Linked DNA regions of Arabidopsis thaliana. The protein of the gene in region 1 interacts with the protein of each later gene in a pairwise test. Each region holds a gene or a part of one and is shown in the gene's direction. Other genes may lie near its edges. The genes, in order: FMA, ICE1, bHLH093 and SCRM2.

What was found.
Region 2: the proteins of FMA (region 1) and ICE1 interact in a two-hybrid assay, tested with the Arabidopsis thaliana proteins (one study listed by BioGRID).
Region 3: the proteins of FMA (region 1) and bHLH093 interact in a protein complementation assay, tested with the Arabidopsis thaliana proteins (2 studies listed by BioGRID).
Region 4: the proteins of FMA (region 1) and SCRM2 interact in a two-hybrid assay, tested with the Arabidopsis thaliana proteins (one study listed by BioGRID).

Annotation. Positions count from the first base shown.
Region 1 is NC_003074.8:8,714,584-8,719,736, reverse strand, and holds FMA (basic helix-loop-helix (bHLH) DNA-binding superfamily protein), read left to right. Parts: upstream 1-1,525; 5' UTR 1,526-1,660; intron 1,661-1,904; 5' UTR 1,905-1,964; coding exon 1,965-1,982; intron 1,983-2,118; coding exon 2,119-2,784; intron 2,785-2,896; coding exon 2,897-3,331; intron 3,332-3,561; coding exon 3,562-3,647; coding exon of another isoform or gene 3,648-3,651; exon of another isoform or gene 3,652-4,172; coding exon 4,173-4,212; 3' UTR 4,213-4,619; downstream 4,620-5,153. UniProt on the Arabidopsis thaliana protein: Transcription activator. Together with MYB88 and MYB124, ensures that stomata contain just two guard cells (GCs) by enforcing a single symmetric precursor cell division before stomatal maturity. Together with SPCH and MUTE, regulates the stomata formation.
Region 2 is NC_003074.8:9,832,149-9,837,139, reverse strand, and holds ICE1 (basic helix-loop-helix (bHLH) DNA-binding superfamily protein), read left to right. Parts: upstream 1-1,867; 5' UTR 1,868-2,004; exon of another isoform or gene 2,005-2,251; 5' UTR 2,252-2,349; coding exon 2,350-3,354; coding exon of another isoform or gene 3,355-3,441; exon of another isoform or gene 3,442-3,536; coding exon 3,537-3,761; intron 3,762-3,853; coding exon 3,854-4,024; coding exon of another isoform or gene 4,025-4,054; exon of another isoform or gene 4,055-4,103; coding exon 4,104-4,187; 3' UTR 4,188-4,473; downstream 4,474-4,991.
Region 3 is NC_003076.8:26,234,998-26,239,753, forward strand, and holds bHLH093 (beta HLH protein 93), read left to right. Parts: upstream 1-1,966; 5' UTR 1,967-2,139; coding exon 2,140-2,757; intron 2,758-3,242; coding exon 3,243-3,425; intron 3,426-3,556; coding exon 3,557-3,724; intron 3,725-3,820; coding exon 3,821-3,907; 3' UTR 3,908-4,222; downstream 4,223-4,756. Other genes in the region: AT5G65650 (sugar transporter, putative (DUF1195)), read left to right, coding at 4,591-4,756. UniProt on the Arabidopsis thaliana protein: Transcription factor. May be involved in the differentiation of stomatal guard cells.
Region 4 is NC_003070.9:4,382,386-4,387,188, forward strand, and holds SCRM2 (basic helix-loop-helix (bHLH) DNA-binding superfamily protein), read left to right. Parts: upstream 1-1,918; 5' UTR 1,919-2,372; coding exon 2,373-3,257; coding exon of another isoform or gene 3,258-3,338; coding exon 3,339-3,551; intron 3,552-3,633; coding exon 3,634-3,804; coding exon of another isoform or gene 3,805-3,813; exon of another isoform or gene 3,814-3,923; coding exon 3,924-4,007; 3' UTR 4,008-4,266; downstream 4,267-4,803. Other genes in the region: AT1G12855 (F-box family protein), read left to right, coding at 1-1,226; AT1G12870 (F-box and associated interaction domains-containing protein), read right to left, coding at 4,744-4,803. UniProt on the Arabidopsis thaliana protein: Mediates stomatal differentiation in the epidermis probably by controlling successive roles of SPCH, MUTE, and FAMA. Functions as a dimer with SPCH during stomatal initiation.

The DNA of each region.
Region 1 (5,153 bases):
GTTTCTTTTTTTCTTTTCAACATAGTATTTGTGTAATATGCACCTACTAAAATACTCCTATGGATCCGCGACTCTTATTCCCGAAAAAGTTCACTGGATTGATCAACGTGAATTTTTACTCCACTTTTTGTTAAAAGTTAAAACGTAACCATCCACACCAGTGTCTTTTTCTTTAAATGTATATGTCTCCACGTACACACACAAATAGTATAGGTCATGTTCGTGAAACTAATTTCATATATTTGACCAGAATATTTTTATTAGAAATCATATTTTATTGACAACACATAACTAATATAAGTGCTTGAATTTGAAATACTATAGAAATAAACTAAAAGATGAGAAGCGTATAGAGATTTGATTAAGTTCACGAAAAGCGGTGGAAAAAGAGCGGCCTTGGCTTGTGAACTCTAAAAACTCAAATCTTATCATTTATGGTTTGACAAACAAAAAAAAAAGATAGATAGATAGAGAGGTGATCAGCTGATACACGTGTGTTTTCACGTTACTTCTTTTTTCGTATTTTGTGGCTCCTCACCCTTACGTCTAACGCAAAAAGAAATAGAGTATTTATTACAAAAACAAGATATGATTTGGAATATTCAATAATCTTTCTTTTGAGTCAATATTGAACTTAATTTTTGTTCAAAATAAGCTAGGGAGTTGCTCTAGATCCCCCATTTCAAATTTGACCGTAAAATTTGGATTGTTATGTGTTTCTATGTAGAAGATAGAGAAGAACTAGATAACTATATATGTAATGATATTTATATATCAAATGGGATGAAAATTAATATTGACACATTATGTGCATAATACAAAGGGATTGATTGAATGAGCATCTTTTGATTAGCCAATCATGATTTTCTGCAAAAGCATTTGGGGAGACATTGAGAACTTCCGACTGCACGGCTTTATCCTGCTACAATTGGAAGCTTTTTTTACTAAGCATTAAGTATCTCTAACAATTATAAGAGGGCAATAATAACATCCCTTTTTCTTTCTTACAAAGCAATAAAAAAGGACAATAGTAACGAAAATTCATTTTTCCCACGATTGATATCTTTTGGTTGTAGTTTTTAGATTTTCTAAAACATTTTATGTGATGGTTGATATTTCTCTACTTTTAGAAACTAAAAGAGAATGCATAGAAAATTGCGAAAAACAATGATGTCTCGATAATTAATGGGAATATGATAGTAGAATAAAACAGCCACTGCAATCAAACTACTTACTACTAATCCTCAATATTTTAGATTAACTTATGTAGATTTTCATTTATCTTTATTCTTTAGAAAATTGTTTTTTTTTTTTTTGAAACATGTTTACGTATCTTTTTTTAAGTCGTTTAATTTGTTTTTATTGGGTCACGAATGTGTACCATTCACACCCTAATTAGTAATTAGAGAAACAAATGATTACGAATATACATACTTAAGAAATTTAATGCCCCCTTGCTATACCTTGTGTACACATGTATAATGTATCTCTCTCTATAAATATGGGAGCTTGGTGATGCTTACTCATTTATGACTTCTCAATACAAAAAGCTCCCCTCACTTTTTTAAGTTTTGTCTTCTCTAATCCGTCTTCTTCTACTATCTTGCATGTCTTGCGTCTTTTATATACATCTCTCGTAAACCCTAGCAAATCATACAAGGTCAGTCCCTTTTATTTTGTTAACTCCTTACTAAACAAAGCTCTAATATATTTGGTGTTAATCATTTTTTTTAATTGTCAAAATTCAATTTGAAAACTTGTTTTGTACATATAAAATACATGTATATGTATATGGTGAAACATGTAATCTGCCTAGGTTTGGTTTTAACTTGTTCTACGTGTGTTTTTGTTTCATGTATATGTTTTTAAAACTGACTGTGAAGCTCATGGATTGTTGTCATCAGGTCAAGAAGCTTGACCTTCATTAGACTTAAGCAGTTTATAATCAACTACCACGAATAGCAATGGATAAAGATTACTCGGTACGTACGTTTTTTTTTCCAGTATTTCAAGATCCTTAATCTCTTTTCTTATACAAATTGATAGATATCTATGTATAAGATTCAAATCTTCCTGCTTATGATATTAACTTCATTCTCCAATTCTGGTTTTTATTAGGCACCAAACTTCTTAGGTGAATCCTCAGGCGGTAACGATGATAACAGCTCTGGTATGATAGACTATATGTTCAATAGAAACCTTCAACAACAACAAAAGCAATCGATGCCACAACAGCAGCAACATCAACTCTCTCCTTCCGGATTTGGAGCAACACCTTTTGATAAAATGAACTTCTCTGATGTGATGCAGTTTGCGGACTTCGGTTCGAAACTTGCGTTGAACCAGACCAGAAACCAAGACGATCAAGAAACCGGGATTGACCCCGTTTATTTCTTGAAGTTCCCTGTCTTGAACGACAAAATAGAGGACCATAACCAAACCCAACATCTCATGCCTTCTCATCAGACGTCTCAAGAAGGAGGTGAGTGTGGAGGAAACATAGGCAATGTGTTTCTTGAAGAAAAAGAAGATCAAGACGATGACAACGACAACAACTCCGTGCAACTACGTTTTATTGGAGGAGAAGAAGAAGATAGGGAGAACAAGAATGTTACGAAAAAGGAGGTGAAGAGCAAGAGGAAGAGAGCTAGAACGAGCAAGACCAGCGAAGAAGTGGAAAGCCAACGGATGACTCATATCGCGGTCGAAAGAAACCGTAGGAAGCAAATGAATGAGCATCTTCGTGTCCTTAGATCTCTCATGCCTGGCTCCTACGTTCAAAGGGTATGATATTCATAAATTATATCTTAAAGAAAGAATTTTCGTGAATGTTTTTTTATATGTATATGTACAACTAATTATACTGTCTACACCAAATATTAATTGTATAAAATAGGGAGACCAAGCGTCAATCATAGGAGGAGCAATAGAGTTTGTGAGAGAGCTCGAGCAACTCCTACAATGTCTTGAATCACAGAAGCGTCGAAGAATCTTAGGAGAAACCGGTAGGGACATGACAACGACAACGACTTCTTCTTCTTCTCCCATAACTACGGTAGCGAACCAAGCACAACCGCTCATTATTACGGGAAATGTAACCGAGCTAGAGGGCGGAGGAGGGCTTCGGGAGGAGACTGCGGAGAACAAGTCGTGCTTGGCTGACGTGGAGGTGAAGCTGCTAGGGTTTGACGCCATGATCAAGATACTTTCAAGAAGAAGGCCGGGACAGCTGATTAAGACTATAGCTGCTTTGGAGGATCTTCATCTCTCTATTCTTCACACTAACATCACTACCATGGAACAAACCGTCCTCTACTCCTTTAATGTCAAGGCAAGTTTATATGTTAAAAAGTAATTCATCATTCATATTCAGCTTTCATATGCAAAATCTAGACTCATCAAATAATACATGTAATTATCTAATCTGGATTAGCTGTCATAAAACACATTTATAATTTTATTTAGGGTTTTCAATATAATCATAGATTATGGATTTGTATTGTTAAAGTATATGTAATAACTATCAATGGCTAACATGAGGTAGATGTAAAATATGTGCAGATAACAAGTGAAACGAGGTTTACGGCAGAAGACATAGCAAGTTCCATCCAACAGATATTTAGTTTCATTCATGCAAATACCAACATGTAAGGATATATATTTTTCTGCTATTTAAATATTCTTTCGATTAAAGATACTTTTGATAAGTTTCTGTTGGTCCCTTAAAACAAAAGTTTATGTTGGTTCATTGTTATCCATTTCACATGCCTTTTGTGTTTTGTTTGTTTTTACCTTTTAGATGTCATGATTATATCTTTTTGTGTGCAATGTGGTCTATCTAATCATCAAGACATCATTACTATGTGTGTGTGTGACTCTGTGAGTGTGTGAGTATATGAGTCTGGTAAAAAGTCTTAGAGTAAAAGATATTGGTGGTTCGATGTTATACATTTTACTATTTTAGATGTCTAGCTTTTGTCTTTTGTTTGTTCTTTTACCTTTTAGATGTTATGATTATTTGCTTTTAATGTTAGATATATATGGTGTATCTAATCTATCATGGTTATTTTCTTTGTGTGTTACATATGGTGTGTATATATATATATATATATATTGTAACATATTTATCACAATATTTGAAGTGTTAAAGCTTGGAAACAATTTTATTTCAGATCTGGAAGCTCTAACCTGGGAAATATTGTGTTTACTTGAAAATCATCACACGGCGACAACTTTGTACACTGGTGAAGATTACAGTACGTAATAATCTCTACATATTGGGTTTTATTCTCCAAGCATTTGGAAGAGTGTTTAAGTTAAAGGGAGTGCTTACTTTATTTTTTTGGGGCTTTTTTCATGCAATTTAAATTTTAGTGATGATTGTGTCGCTTGTAATGTTAGAACTCGTTGTTGTGATTTCTGCTGCTTTGATTTGTAGGTTTTGAACAAGCGGTTTAGAATGCTAAACCACTTATTTACTTGAAATAACTTTTTTCACAAAATAAAAAAGAAAAGAAAAAAACAATGCATGAAAACTTTTCTTGAGGGGAGGGAGAGGAACTATCATTTTCTTGAGATTTGTCTATGAGAAATGGGCCAATATATATACAACAAGAAAACATGAAGAAAAAAAAGGTTAGAAATAGCCAGTTTTAATCTTCAAAAAATTGACCATTCGGTTAAACAAAGTGACGCTTTTACACTTTTTCAAAAGTGATTTGACTAAAGAAACTAAGTGTCAGAATTCAGAAAAACAAATTCATTTAGGAGACTCAAAATGATTGTCTTTAATCTTTCTCTCGTACGTCAACAAAGACGAAACTCTTGTCTTCATCTTCTTTATATATTCACCATTAGCTCTAATCCAAGTCAGATCCGACACATACACAATAAATTCCAAAAGCACTGCTTGGTTTTCTTCTCACACCAAGTAGGTTCGTACGGGGGTAAGATCTTGACAGAGTCCAAGGCCAGAGAATTCCAATTCCAAATCCGTCCAAGACTTGAAGATCCTTTGTTATATAGCTTATATTAATTCATCGAAGGTAAGCAAAAAAGATTCGTGTTTGTCAATCGTATTATTGTGTTAAATGGTAAGATAATCATTGTAATTACTTTTGAAAATGGAGAGAGTTGATCTAGATTTCTGATTA
Region 2 (4,991 bases), 1.1 Mb from region 1:
TTTAATAAACTTAACATTGCGGTGATTGTAATGGATCGAAACAAAAAATAATAATGATTTCTCAAATCGAAGTTGAAGAGCACTCCGAAGATTCTACCCCAAATTTTGAAGAACATTGAGTTGCTAGTTGATTCAGCACATTCACCAAATTGCTACCAAATGAAGGATATATCGACTACTTGGAAATAAGTTTTCCTTGCACACTAACCATTACCATTTAATTTGATGGAGTTAAAAATAAGCTTTAAGTTGTTCATATTCATCTTTAAAAAATTTCTAATGAGTAAGTTTATTTTGTTCAAGCCATGCTGGATTTATTGAAAACAAAGAGACTATTTTCATATATTTGCAAAGAAACAATATATTGAAACTGGTGAAATAGATACGTCATCCATTTCATCAAAGATCAATCTTCAAGATTCCTATGTGTATTATAGTAGCTTTAAAATAAAGTAAAACTAATATTGAATTATAATTCTTGGGAAGTGTTTATTATTGAAAATCAAATCATGTATAGCTACAGTAAATAAAAAGAAGTAGATAGAAAGAAAGAAAATGCAGTATAAATTTTTAATCTGTGTGAAATGAAAATTTGCAAAATCAATATTCATGAAACGGATAAAATGCACTACCGTACTTGATGCATAAATAAAAAATGGCTGTTTGTACCAATCCACATGTATTATATGCGTTTAACTAGGATTACCAATATTTTTGACCTCTATCCAATTCACCTTCTGCTCTTTTTGTTCTATCTAATTCCACATTCTACCCAATTTACCAAATTCAATTATTATATGTAATTACAATTTAAAATCAATAATTCATGTTTACTATTTCGCGATTAGAGTAAATCCGAGTTTAAAACCTTCCCAACAACATGTCAAAAACACTTTGAAAGCTTGGCCGAGTCTTAAAAAGTTTGACCGAGTCTTAAATTCAGATTTACTCAAATTTCGAAACAATAAACGCGAATTATTGATTATAAATTACAACTACAGAAATAAATGGAAATTGGTTATTTAGGTAGAATTTTATAGTTTGTATGAAATTAGAAAGAAGATAAAAAATACATAATGAATTGGGCTGAGGTCTACTACATAGTGATCCTAATTGAACCCATATAGTATGGGTGGACTGCAACAAACAGCCCATAAAAAAAAAAAAATTCAATGTTTATTAAAACCTTTAAATGAAGGAAACTAAGATAGATAGCCGGAGAACACGTTTAAATCTCCGGAATCTTAGCCGGTAGAAAAACAAATTCTCTAATAATAAAGCATAAACCAAAACTATATAAGCAAAAAGCCAATTTAAGGCACAAAGCCACAATTGAAACTAACAAAACTTTTTAGAAAATGAATCCCTAATTACTTCCTCTAGAAGACTAGAAAGCATATCGCAACACAACTATATTTTTTTGGGAACTCAATTTAGTTGATAATGGTGATAAACGCTACAATCATCAGAAAATTTGGAATTACTCGTCCTTACTTAATTAATGTTTAAAAGACTTATGAAATTAAACTATTTACTTACAAACTTGAGCTTGATGTGGCTTTGTTCAAGAAGCTTAGGAACCATCGAAAAGATGTCGACGCCGGTAAAGTCGAGATATGCGTTACAACATAATTATTTATAATTTTTTAAAAAAATACAAAAAATAAAAGGAAATATATTTAATAGTAAGAATATAAAATAAATTTTATTACCATCTTTTGAAAAAGAACTTTTAAGTACATAACAATAATTAGGTAATAATATGAGTTAAAGAAATGCATGGAAGACACGCGTTGCATGAATGATGCTAATTACACTTTGAAATTATCATCATCATCATTAACTTACTTAAACACTGTCTATATAAAGACAGAGACAGTGACAACAGAGACAGAGAGATAAGCTTAAGCCAAAATTAAGCAGAAAAATGGAGAAATAGTGACGGTGAGAGAGAGAGAGATACGGTAAACGAAGCAAAGCAAAGAGAGTCACGAGAAATCTGGGGTATGTGTTCAATGATAAAGCAATTTCATGGTGGCCGAAATTGAATCCATCAAAAAAAAAGTTTCAATTTTTGAAAGCTCTGAGAAATGAATCTATCATTCTCTCTCTCTATCTCTATCTTCCTTTTCAGATTTCGCTTCTTCAATTCATGAAATCCTCGTGATTCTACTTTAATGCTTCTCTTTTTTTACTTTTCCAAGTCTCTGAATATTCAAAGTATATATCTTTTGTTTTCAAACTTTTGCAGAATTGTCTTCAAGCTTCCAAATTTCAGTTAAAGGTCTCAACTTTGCAGAATTTTCCTCTAAAGGTTCAGACTTTGGGGTAAAGGTGTCAACTTTGGCGATGGGTCTTGACGGAAACAATGGTGGAGGGGTTTGGTTAAACGGTGGTGGTGGAGAAAGGGAAGAGAACGAGGAAGGTTCATGGGGAAGGAATCAAGAAGATGGTTCTTCTCAGTTTAAGCCTATGCTTGAAGGTGATTGGTTTAGTAGTAACCAACCACATCCACAAGATCTTCAGATGTTACAGAATCAGCCAGATTTCAGATACTTTGGTGGTTTTCCTTTTAACCCTAATGATAATCTTCTTCTTCAACACTCTATTGATTCTTCTTCTTCTTGTTCTCCTTCTCAAGCTTTTAGTCTTGACCCTTCTCAGCAAAATCAGTTCTTGTCAACTAACAACAACAAGGGTTGTCTTCTCAATGTTCCTTCTTCTGCAAACCCTTTTGATAATGCTTTTGAGTTTGGCTCTGAATCTGGTTTTCTTAACCAAATCCATGCTCCTATTTCGATGGGGTTTGGTTCTTTGACACAATTGGGGAACAGGGATTTGAGTTCTGTTCCTGATTTCTTGTCTGCTCGGTCACTTCTTGCGCCGGAAAGCAACAACAACAACACAATGTTGTGTGGTGGTTTCACAGCTCCGTTGGAGTTGGAAGGTTTTGGTAGTCCTGCTAATGGTGGTTTTGTTGGGAACAGAGCGAAAGTTCTGAAGCCTTTAGAGGTGTTAGCATCGTCTGGTGCACAGCCTACTCTGTTCCAGAAACGTGCAGCTATGCGTCAGAGCTCTGGAAGCAAAATGGGAAATTCGGAGAGTTCGGGAATGAGGAGGTTTAGTGATGATGGAGATATGGATGAGACTGGGATTGAGGTTTCTGGGTTGAACTATGAGTCTGATGAGATAAATGAGAGCGGTAAAGCGGCTGAGAGTGTTCAGATTGGAGGAGGAGGAAAGGGTAAGAAGAAAGGTATGCCTGCTAAGAATCTGATGGCTGAGAGGAGAAGGAGGAAGAAGCTTAATGATAGGCTTTATATGCTTAGATCAGTTGTCCCCAAGATCAGCAAAGTAAACACTTACTTTGTCTCTTTTATCTCCTTAAGAGCTTGTTTACTTGTTGCTGTTATAGAGAATTGTTGTGTTGTAGCTTTGTAGGGCCTTTGTTGTTGTCAAACTTTGCATGTAGTTGCTTTACTCTTTTGAGGAAGAGGCTCGTGATAGTGTTTTATGGATTTTCGATGAATTTGCAGATGGATAGAGCATCAATACTTGGAGATGCAATTGATTATCTGAAGGAACTTCTACAAAGGATCAATGATCTTCACAATGAACTTGAGTCAACTCCTCCTGGATCTTTGCCTCCAACTTCATCAAGCTTCCATCCGTTGACACCTACACCGCAAACTCTTTCTTGTCGTGTCAAGGAAGAGTTGTGTCCCTCTTCTTTACCAAGTCCTAAAGGCCAGCAAGCTAGAGTAAGGACTATATTCTGTATAACTTTTGCTTAGACTGGAAAGAAGAAAACAAAGATTCATGTTTGAGAGATTACTCTGCTTCTTTTTCACAGGTTGAGGTTAGATTAAGGGAAGGAAGAGCAGTGAACATTCATATGTTCTGTGGTCGTAGACCGGGTCTGTTGCTCGCTACCATGAAAGCTTTGGATAATCTTGGATTGGATGTTCAGCAAGCTGTGATCAGCTGTTTTAATGGGTTTGCCTTGGATGTTTTCCGCGCTGAGGTGATCTTCTACTCTCAGTTGAAAGGTTAAGGATTTGTAGAACAGTTTTAGTAGTAACATGTTTTCTTTTGTCTATCAGCAATGCCAAGAAGGACAAGAGATACTGCCTGATCAAATCAAAGCAGTGCTTTTCGATACAGCAGGGTATGCTGGTATGATCTGATCTGATCCTGACTTCGAGTCCATTAAGCATCTGTTGAAGCAGAGCTAGAAGAACTAAGTCCCTTTAAATCTGCAATTTTCTTCTCAACTTTTTTTCTTATGTCATAACTTCAATCTAAGCATGTAATGCAATTGCAAATGAGAGTTGTTTTTAAATTAAGCTTTTGAGAACTTGAGGTTGTTGTTGTTGGATACATAACTTCAACCTTTTATTAGCAATGTTAACTTCCATTTATGTTTCATCTTAAAGCTATGCTCAAGAATTTTTTTTAAAGTCTTCATCTTTGTTCATGAGTGAACTTCTCAAAGAAGACAGACAAAACATTTGCACATATACAGACAAAACAGTTATGTTAAAGGTATAGCTTTGGTATTAGCTGATGAAATGAGCTTTGATGATGTAAGAGTGAAGAAAAACATTGAGATTTTTAAGAAAAAACAGAGAAAAGAATGGTGAAGGAAGAGGCAGAGCAAAGAATAGACCCTACCATTTTGTTTGTTTTCTTCTTTAAATGCTTACTTAATGTTTTAAGAACTTTTATATACGTTGTATGTATCCGTACAAAAGAAAGATTTAGAGAGATAGAGAGGAGACATAGTTAATGGCGGTTAGAGATAGAAAGAGAGAGTCACGAGAACGTAGAGGATGTGATGAAGAAACGTAAAAGTGGTAGGTCCTTTGAATCTTTTAAAAACCTAACCTTTTTTATAGGGTTTTAATTTAGCTTCTCTGAATTTTTCTATGATTATAATGCATGTAGTAATGAAGTCCTCGTGATTCTAGTTTTTAGTGATGTCCTCTTGA
Region 3 (4,756 bases), on another chromosome or scaffold:
TAACTTGGTTTAATAGTTTTTTTTGGTTGTGATGTTACGCCACAAGCACAAATTCTGGGACCTTTATATTGTGTGTATAAATGATATTTGAATACAGAAATTAATATTTGTAGAGATTCATCAATGATATATTTGCTTTTGTTTTTTGTTCATCATTAAATCAAAGATCTTCGTTTAATAAAACTTGTGTTTCATATTTTTAAATAATTTATAATCCAGATATATTGTACTATATACACCCACACATGTATAATATGAATGTGAATGTTGAATTATAGATTGAAAGTGAGTGAACTGAAAGGACGAGAGAGGCCTAAGACAGTTTGTTTGTTTTCGTGAACATGGAGCTTCTCTTTACCATGTGCTCTCGATCTTTTTATTATTAATCTTACTTTTATTTACTTTTTTCACATTTTGTTTTTATACGGTTTTTTATATGAGAATGGCACTGAAGATGGAGCAAGAAGTTCACATGCAAACATAAAATATTACACATAAAAAAATTGAAAAGCTACATTCTAGGCATATGCGTGATTTTCCAAGGATTTTTGTTTCGTATAAATAATATTAGCAGTCAAAGTAGCTAGATTTGCTTCTATAAATATACTTTCAAATTTCACCCCTTTACTTTCAGATTTGTCAATTTACGCCCCGAAATGGTGCCCTTGATAGCAAACAATTATACAGTACTACTATGAGAACGAGAATATATCTTTAAAAATTCGAAAAGCTCCAATATTTTCGGTCATTAGTTCATAACTTCATCATATTCATAACAATTACCGCGAATAGCCCATCCAATTATTATAAAAATTTTGACTATGTAAAAGCGTTAATCAAAAGAATAAACGTCATATCAAACGTAAGACAAATGTGAACACATATGACAATTATTAATAGGCCTACACTTGAAAAAATGAGATTACTATTCACAAACATTACCTTGATTTAAGGGTCAAATTGAAATTAAAAAAAAAACAAGTGATGCTGAATATAAAATTAAGGCAAGATCTAGACGCAATTTAGTAGAATATGCGTACACAATAGATAATTACGTACGCCTGTGTATATACGATTAATTCCCTCTCAATAATAGTTCATCATTATTATGTAAAATATAATTATAAAAATATATATGGCAGACAGAAAAATAAAGAAAGCAAGAGGGGTAGACAAATGTTCATCCGTTTTCGTCGAGACATGAAATTTGTGGGATCAAAGCAATCCTGTAAGGAAAGGGAATTAATCAATGTATATTACTCTCTTTTTGTTTGTTTCTCAATTAGATGAATACATTTTTCATTTATATAATAACTAAGACCTAAACTCTTGAGTCCATTACTCCATTTCCCCTTTGTTTTTTTCCAACACTTCGAAACACAGATGTGCTAGATTATATATGATCACCTAATGCATGATTTATATATAATATATGAAAAAGTAATATAAAATAGCCAGAAATTTAATCTTGTTATGAAAAATTGAAAATGATTCGAGTAAACACCTAGATGGTCATTTTAGACTGATATAGTAATATCTCAATGTATCATGGTATTTTTTTCGATGGACGAATCTGTCTACATACAATGCACGTATACATGGATGTTAGAAACCGCAACCTCTAGAACTATATGACACACGAATTGCAGAACTTCTAAAAGTTTTACTGCAGTAAAATATCAATCATTAAACCAAAAAGTCTCCTATAAAAGAAATTTGATTATTGATTATATGATTTTGAGTGAAACTTTCTTAGCAGTTAGCAGTACCTTTTCTTTTTTCGTAGGCTAAACTTACCAAAATAAAAACTACATCGGTTCATGTCAAGTCTTGTAATATATAGCTAATCTAGTACTAGCTATAGGCTACAGCAAACAAAAATGTTTTTATTATTTGTCACGAGAAAACAATAAAATGTGTTATCAAACTAAATAAAAACCATATATTATACTAATCACAAATTAAACGGGAATCTTTTATTTAATTAATAGTATACTCTCTCACACAGACAGACATCTCTGGATTTATATATAAATACAGTTCATCTTCTTTAATCCACAAACTCACACACACACACACACACTCTGTTTTCTTCGTCCATTCTATTACCAGAAAACAGAGTTTGATAGAGAGAAAAGAATGGAACTGTCGACTCAAATGAATGTGTTCGAAGAGCTTCTTGTTCCGACAAAGCAAGAAACAACCGACAACAACATCAACAATCTGAGCTTTAATGGCGGATTTGATCATCATCATCATCAATTCTTCCCAAATGGATATAATATTGATTACCTCTGTTTCAACAATGAAGAAGAAGACGAAAATACCCTTTTGTATCCTTCTTCTTTCATGGATCTAATCTCTCAACCTCCTCCATTGCTTCTTCACCAACCGCCACCGTTACAACCACTGTCGCCGCCGTTATCCTCCTCCGCGACCGCCGGAGCAACATTTGACTACCCTTTTCTTGAGGCTTTGCAAGAGATAATTGACTCTTCTTCCTCATCGCCTCCATTGATCCTTCAAAATGGTCAAGAAGAGAACTTTAATAATCCGATGTCGTATCCCTCTCCATTGATGGAGTCTGATCAGAGCAAGAGCTTCAGTGTTGGTTACTGTGGAGGAGAGACGAACAAGAAGAAGAGCAAAAAGCTTGAAGGCCAACCTTCTAAGAATCTCATGGCGGAGAGACGACGGAGAAAACGACTTAACGATCGTCTTTCTATGCTCCGATCCATCGTCCCAAAAATCAGTAAGGTAAATTACAAAATGCTAATCTTTTTTTTCTTTCAAACCATTAATAATAATTGTAGTCAAAATCAGCAAAAGATTTGATCATTTTTTTAATGAGTAGGTTAATGACTGTATTATTATATGTGTTCATAAAGAAAATGACCTTTTTAATCTTCTTGATTTACCTCAAAATCTAACCCTAGCTAAGGTTTTTGTGTTCTTTGAAGATTTATTTAACATTTAATTCAAAAAATTGGTCTCAGGAAAATCAACAAAAGATTCGTCCTTTTAAATGAGTGAATTAGTTATAAAATTGGTTTCAAATTCAGCCTTTTGTATTTTAACATTATGTGTTTGTTTCTTCTTTTTTGAAACCTTAGTTTTCTTCTTCAAGATTGTTTAATTATTGTGTTCTTACTTTTAAGGGAATCTACAGAACCGGCTGAAAAGTGATAAATCATTTAAAAGTGTTTTAAAATAATGATTATTGGTATGTTCAAAAAAATCAGATGGACAGGACATCGATATTAGGAGATGCCATAGATTACATGAAAGAGCTTTTAGACAAAATCAACAAATTACAAGATGAGGAACAAGAACTTGGAAATAGCAACAATTCACATCACTCTAAGCTCTTCGGTGATCTCAAGGATCTTAATGCGAACGAACCTCTGGTCAGAAACTCACCAAAGGTACAAAGATATTTTACATTGCTCTTGTTTTTTTCCTTCTACATATTAGCCCTTGTATTTATGAATTGTTATAAACAAACCCCCTGTCTTTTTAACAAATCTTTTTGTAATTCTGTTTATGTTTTGCATAGTTTGAAATAGATCGTAGAGACGAGGATACTCGAGTTGATATATGCTGCTCGCCAAAACCGGGATTGCTACTATCTACTGTGAATACATTAGAGACTCTAGGCTTGGAGATTGAACAATGTGTTATAAGCTGCTTTAGTGATTTCTCTTTGCAGGCTTCTTGTTCTGAGGTATCGATTTAATATAAAGTATTTATGCATGGAATGTTAATTATATAGTATTCGTAATGATAATATTGATGAGTTTTGTTGTATATATGTTTATAGGGAGCTGAGCAGAGAGATTTCATAACATCAGAAGATATAAAACAAGCATTATTCAGAAACGCAGGTTATGGTGGAAGCTGCTTGTAATGAGTCATGATTGAAACTAATAAACCAAAACTATTGTTTATTTCTAATAATACTAGCGCTTATAAACTTTAGATGTTGTTTTAATTCCCTTGTGAGTTTGGTTTTTTTTTCCTAGGGGAAAACATTATGAGTTCAGTTGTATAAACAAAAGAAGGAAATTTAAAAAGAGATGTTTCTCCTAAATTATATCAAAGAACAAATTGAGATATAAAATAAAAGGTTATATTATGTTGCTTTGAGGGAAATAAACCACTTCGATAATTGAAATTAGGGTTCGTATATGACAGTGACCGATGTTCGAAGGATGCATCATCAAATAAAAAAGCTGTATTAATCAAAAAGTTATAAAGGCTAATCATAAGCGTGATTATAATGTTAATGACTGTGCCTCCACCAATCAACGCATTCATCATTACTGCGGCACTTACGTCAACGAATTAATCTTTTATCGATAAAATTCCAAGAGGCCCTAACTTAGGCTTAATCAATTATTGGGCCTATAAAGAACGGCAACTGATGTAGATCCAAATGGGCTTTATTTAGTAAGCCCAAACTTTATGTTTTCTCTTATATCTTCCTGCTCTGTTATTAGAAAGAATCTCCGATTTAGATAGAAACAACAATCCTCCGGTGGTCACTCGCTAATCTCCGTTTGATCTCGCCGACACTCGAGCCTTTTACCGATGAAGGATGGAGATTCCTTACCAATAAGCACTTCTTCCGTCGCGGCGACGACGGTGACCGGAAAGAAGGAAACCGGTTATTCCGCTCTCTTCTCGAAAGGCCGGTACAAGTTTTGGGCCTTAGCTGCGATTCTGTTACTCGCTTTCTGGTCAATGCTCACTGGCA
Region 4 (4,803 bases), on another chromosome or scaffold:
TACCTAGAGGAAGAGGAAACGAGAAGGCAGTGTTTGCACCATCATCACTACCAAACGATGTTGTAGAGGAAATCTTCTTACGACTTCCGGTGAAAGCAATAATCCAACTAAAGTCTCTCTCAAAACAATGGAGATCGACGATCGAGTCTCGCAGTTTTGAAGAGAGACACTTGAAGATCGTCGAGCGATCACGCGTGGATTTTCCACAGGTCATGGTCATGTCTGAAGAATATTCCTTGAAAGGAAGTAAAGGTAATCAGCCTCGTCCAGATACAGACATTGGTTTTAGTACAATCTGTTTGGAATCGGCTTCTATTCTGTCCTCCACTCTTATCACTTTCCCTCAAGGATTTCAACACCGGATCTATGCTTCTGAAAGCTGTGACGGACTTTTCTGCATCCATTCCCTAAAAACACAAGCCATATATGTAGTTAACCCGGCCACTCGGTGGTTTCGACAACTTCCTCCGGCTAGGTTTCAGATTTTGATGCAAAAGTTATACCCCACTCAAGACACTTGGATTGACATAAAACCAGTAGTCTGTTATACAGCATTCGTGAAGGCCAATGATTACAAATTAGTGTGGTTGTATAATTCTGATGCCTCGAATCCAAACCTGGGAGTTACAAAGTGCGAGGTTTTTGATTTTAGGGCAAACGCTTGGAGGTACTTGACTTGCACTCCAAGCTATCGGATATTCCCTGACCAAGTACCAGCAGCTACAAACGGGTCTATTTATTGGTTCACGGAACCATATAATGGCGAAATAAAAGTGGTAGCTCTCGATATTCACACTGAAACGTTTCGTGTGCTACCTAAGATTAATCCGGCCATTGCTAGTTCAGATCCTGACCATATCGACATGTGCACTTTGGATAATGGTTTGTGCATGTCGAAAAGAGAATCGGATACGTTGGTCCAAGAGATATGGAGGTTAAAATCATCAGAAGACTCATGGGAGAAGGTTTATACCATAGATTTGCTTTCTTGTTCTTCTTCTTCTTTATCTGAGTTCCGCGATGGATTTAATTGGACACGAAAAGATTTGGTTGAGCCATCCACACCAGTGGCGATATGCAAGGACAAGAAGATTCTGCTCTCACATCGCTATGCCCGCAATATGATCAAATACGATCCCCAAATAAAATCTATCAGTTTAATTTACCAACCTCCTTTGTGTAGAAGATATGCTTCTTATTTTCAGAGTTTGATCTCTCATATATAAAATGCTTTGATGTATTTGGAAGCATGTAATGTAAGAAACAAAGCATTAATTGTTTGGATTGTTATATTATCCGATAGCATGCTGTTATTCATAAATCATAATAAACCATACTTATTTCGCCAAATGACACTATACTTACCAAAAATCATACTACTTTATGAAATGATACAGATTTTTCAAAAAAATGAGGACGAGTATTTTCGTTAATCCACACAAAAATCAGTTTCATTCTGTGTGTGGATGTAAAAGGAAGATGAAATATAGATTTTATCTTAAAGGGACCATTGCCTCGTTGTTAAAAAAAAGGGACCATTGCATCCGACATCTTTTATCCGTATTAATCTTGAAATGTTTATTCAATATACTTTGTTGCAAGATTTTTTTTTATTCAATATACTTTTGTTATTCATGTCAAAAAAAATTTGATTAATAGCCAATCTATGTAACAATCTAAACACAAGTTTGCCGCTACAATTAATATGAGTCTATGACACACATCACAAAGTTTTGAGAGATTAAAATTCTTTAGTCCCAAATACTTCAAATATAGAAAAAAACTACAATTTTTCTTTTCAAAATTTGTTTATTTTACGGTGACAATTTTTATGATTGCCAACCAAATCCCACATTATTAAGTTTTTCAACCAAACTGAACTGTATACTTATTTTGATTATTAACGGTCGGATTTAGCTTTAACTAAATCATCTTCCTAAGCTCTATCACTGAAATAATTCTGCAGACAAAAAAAAATGAGAGAGAGGTGGCAAAGATGAAGTGGAGGTGAGAGACGGAAAGCAAAAACAATAGTCACGAGAATCAACACCAACTCTTAAACCAAGATAGACCAAGAAACCAAACAGAGTAAATAAATGGTGGCCTTGACAACATTGAAATCCCCAAAAATCTCAACTTTTTAGGGTTTTCGAGCTCTGAAATCTCTCTATCTTTCTTCTTCAGATTTCTCACTTTTTTCTTCTTCATAAGATCCTCGTGATTCCACTTTATAACGTACGCCTCCTTTCAAGAAAAATCTCTCTCTATATTATCTACGTTTCTCTCGCCTTGTCTCCTTTTGAGGTTCCATTTCTACTTCTCTCCAAAATTCGAAACTTTTCCCACTCTCTCTCTCTCTCTACTAGTTTGACATGAACAGCGACGGTGTTTGGCTTGACGGCTCCGGTGAATCTCCGGAAGTTAATAACGGTGAAGCTGCGTCTTGGGTCAGAAACCCAGATGAAGACTGGTTCAATAACCCACCACCACCACAACACACTAATCAAAACGACTTCAGATTCAATGGTGGCTTTCCTTTAAACCCCTCAGAGAATCTGCTTCTTCTTCTTCAGCAATCGATTGATTCTTCTTCTTCTTCTTCTCCGTTATTACATCCTTTCACACTCGACGCTGCTTCACAGCAACAACAACAACAACAACAACAACAGGAACAGTCTTTCTTAGCTACGAAAGCTTGTATAGTTTCTCTTCTCAACGTCCCAACCATCAATAACAACACTTTCGATGACTTCGGCTTTGACTCTGGTTTCTTAGGACAACAATTCCATGGAAATCATCAATCTCCGAACTCGATGAATTTCACTGGCTTAAACCACTCAGTACCGGATTTTCTTCCAGCTCCGGAAAACAGCTCAGGATCATGTGGATTGAGTCCTCTGTTCTCAAACAGAGCAAAGGTTTTAAAACCGTTACAGGTAATGGCTTCATCTGGCTCGCAGCCAACTCTGTTTCAGAAACGAGCTGCAATGCGTCAGAGCTCGAGTAGCAAAATGTGCAATTCTGAGAGTTCTTCTGAAATGAGGAAATCGAGCTACGAGAGAGAGATTGACGATACTAGTACCGGAATCATCGATATCTCTGGATTGAATTACGAATCTGATGACCATAATACTAATAACAACAAAGGTAAGAAGAAAGGAATGCCTGCAAAGAATCTTATGGCTGAGAGAAGAAGAAGGAAGAAGCTTAATGATAGGCTTTACATGCTTAGATCAGTTGTTCCCAAGATCAGCAAAGTAACCAAAAAGATTCTTCCTTTTTTCTCTTTGTTCTCCTTAATAACTTCTTGTGTCACTAATTTTGGGTTGCAAATGTAGATGGATAGAGCATCAATACTTGGAGATGCTATTGATTACCTCAAAGAGCTTTTACAAAGAATCAACGATCTTCACACCGAACTTGAATCTACTCCACCGAGTTCTTCAAGCTTGCATCCGTTAACACCGACTCCACAAACGCTGTCTTACCGTGTTAAGGAAGAGTTGTGTCCATCTTCCTCCTTGCCAAGTCCTAAAGGCCAACAACCAAGAGTAAGAATAAGCTCAATTGCTTTCTAGTGGACAAAGCTGTATTCTTTAATTTTCTTAGTAACGCTTCTTTGTTTTGATATAGGTTGAGGTTAGATTAAGAGAAGGAAAGGCAGTGAACATACACATGTTCTGTGGACGTAGACCAGGTCTTTTACTTTCCACCATGAGAGCTTTGGATAACTTAGGATTGGATGTTCAACAAGCGGTGATTAGCTGTTTCAATGGTTTTGCTTTGGATGTTTTCCGCGCTGAGGTAATATAGTTGTTAAGATGCTATGCTGATCACTGATTAGTAAAACTAGCAGTCAAAGAATAGTTATTTGAGAGAATGATTAGTATACAAGTAACAACATGTTTTGTGTTTCTAATCAGCAATGTCAAGAAGACCATGACGTGTTACCTGAACAAATCAAAGCAGTGCTTTTAGATACAGCAGGTTACGCTGGTTTGGTTTGATTGCGAAGCAGAAGGAAGCATCTGTGTGGAACAGAGCTAGATCTAAGTCCTTGTTCTGTTTTAGTCAGCAATTTTCTTACTTAGTTTCATCAATTTCAATCATGTATGGAAGATGATAACTGTTTTATTTTAGCTATGAGAACATGTGTTTGGGGAACAATAGTTGCAACCTTTGAGCAAAATGCCATTGTTTCTCAATAATTCTACTTTGCTTTTCATTTATATGTTGTTTGCAAGAAGAGAGCAATGTTGATTTTCATTGATAAAACACACATGAGTCTGTCATGAGAAAAGGCTAAACAAAATATTAAGAAATGCACAATTCATAGGCAAACGCTCTGATATATCAATTTTTCAGAACAGAGATGAATCTCTATGTAAAATTCATATTCTTTATAAATGTCTGAGCTTGGTTCAGTTTAGTAAGATTTGGTTTGTGCCGTGGGCGACTGAAGATGTTAAAGACAAAAACATAATGGAACCAGATAAACTTGGCTAATTGGTAAGAATTAAAAGAAAATCTATGGTATAAATCTTCTCCCATGTGTCTTCTGATGATTTCTTCAGCCTCCAAATATTTTGGATCAGCTTATCTCCTTCTCTTTTCGACATGCACAAAGCATTATCCAGAGTGTATATATGGCTAGGATCTAAACTAGCAATAGCGGGAACTATCTTTGGCAGCAACCGGAATTTTTCTGTAATGATATCGAAAACTATTACTTTGATTTCAGCATTATATAGCTCTGTGAACCAATAAAGCGTCCCGTTTACAGATGCTGGCTTTTGGGCATGG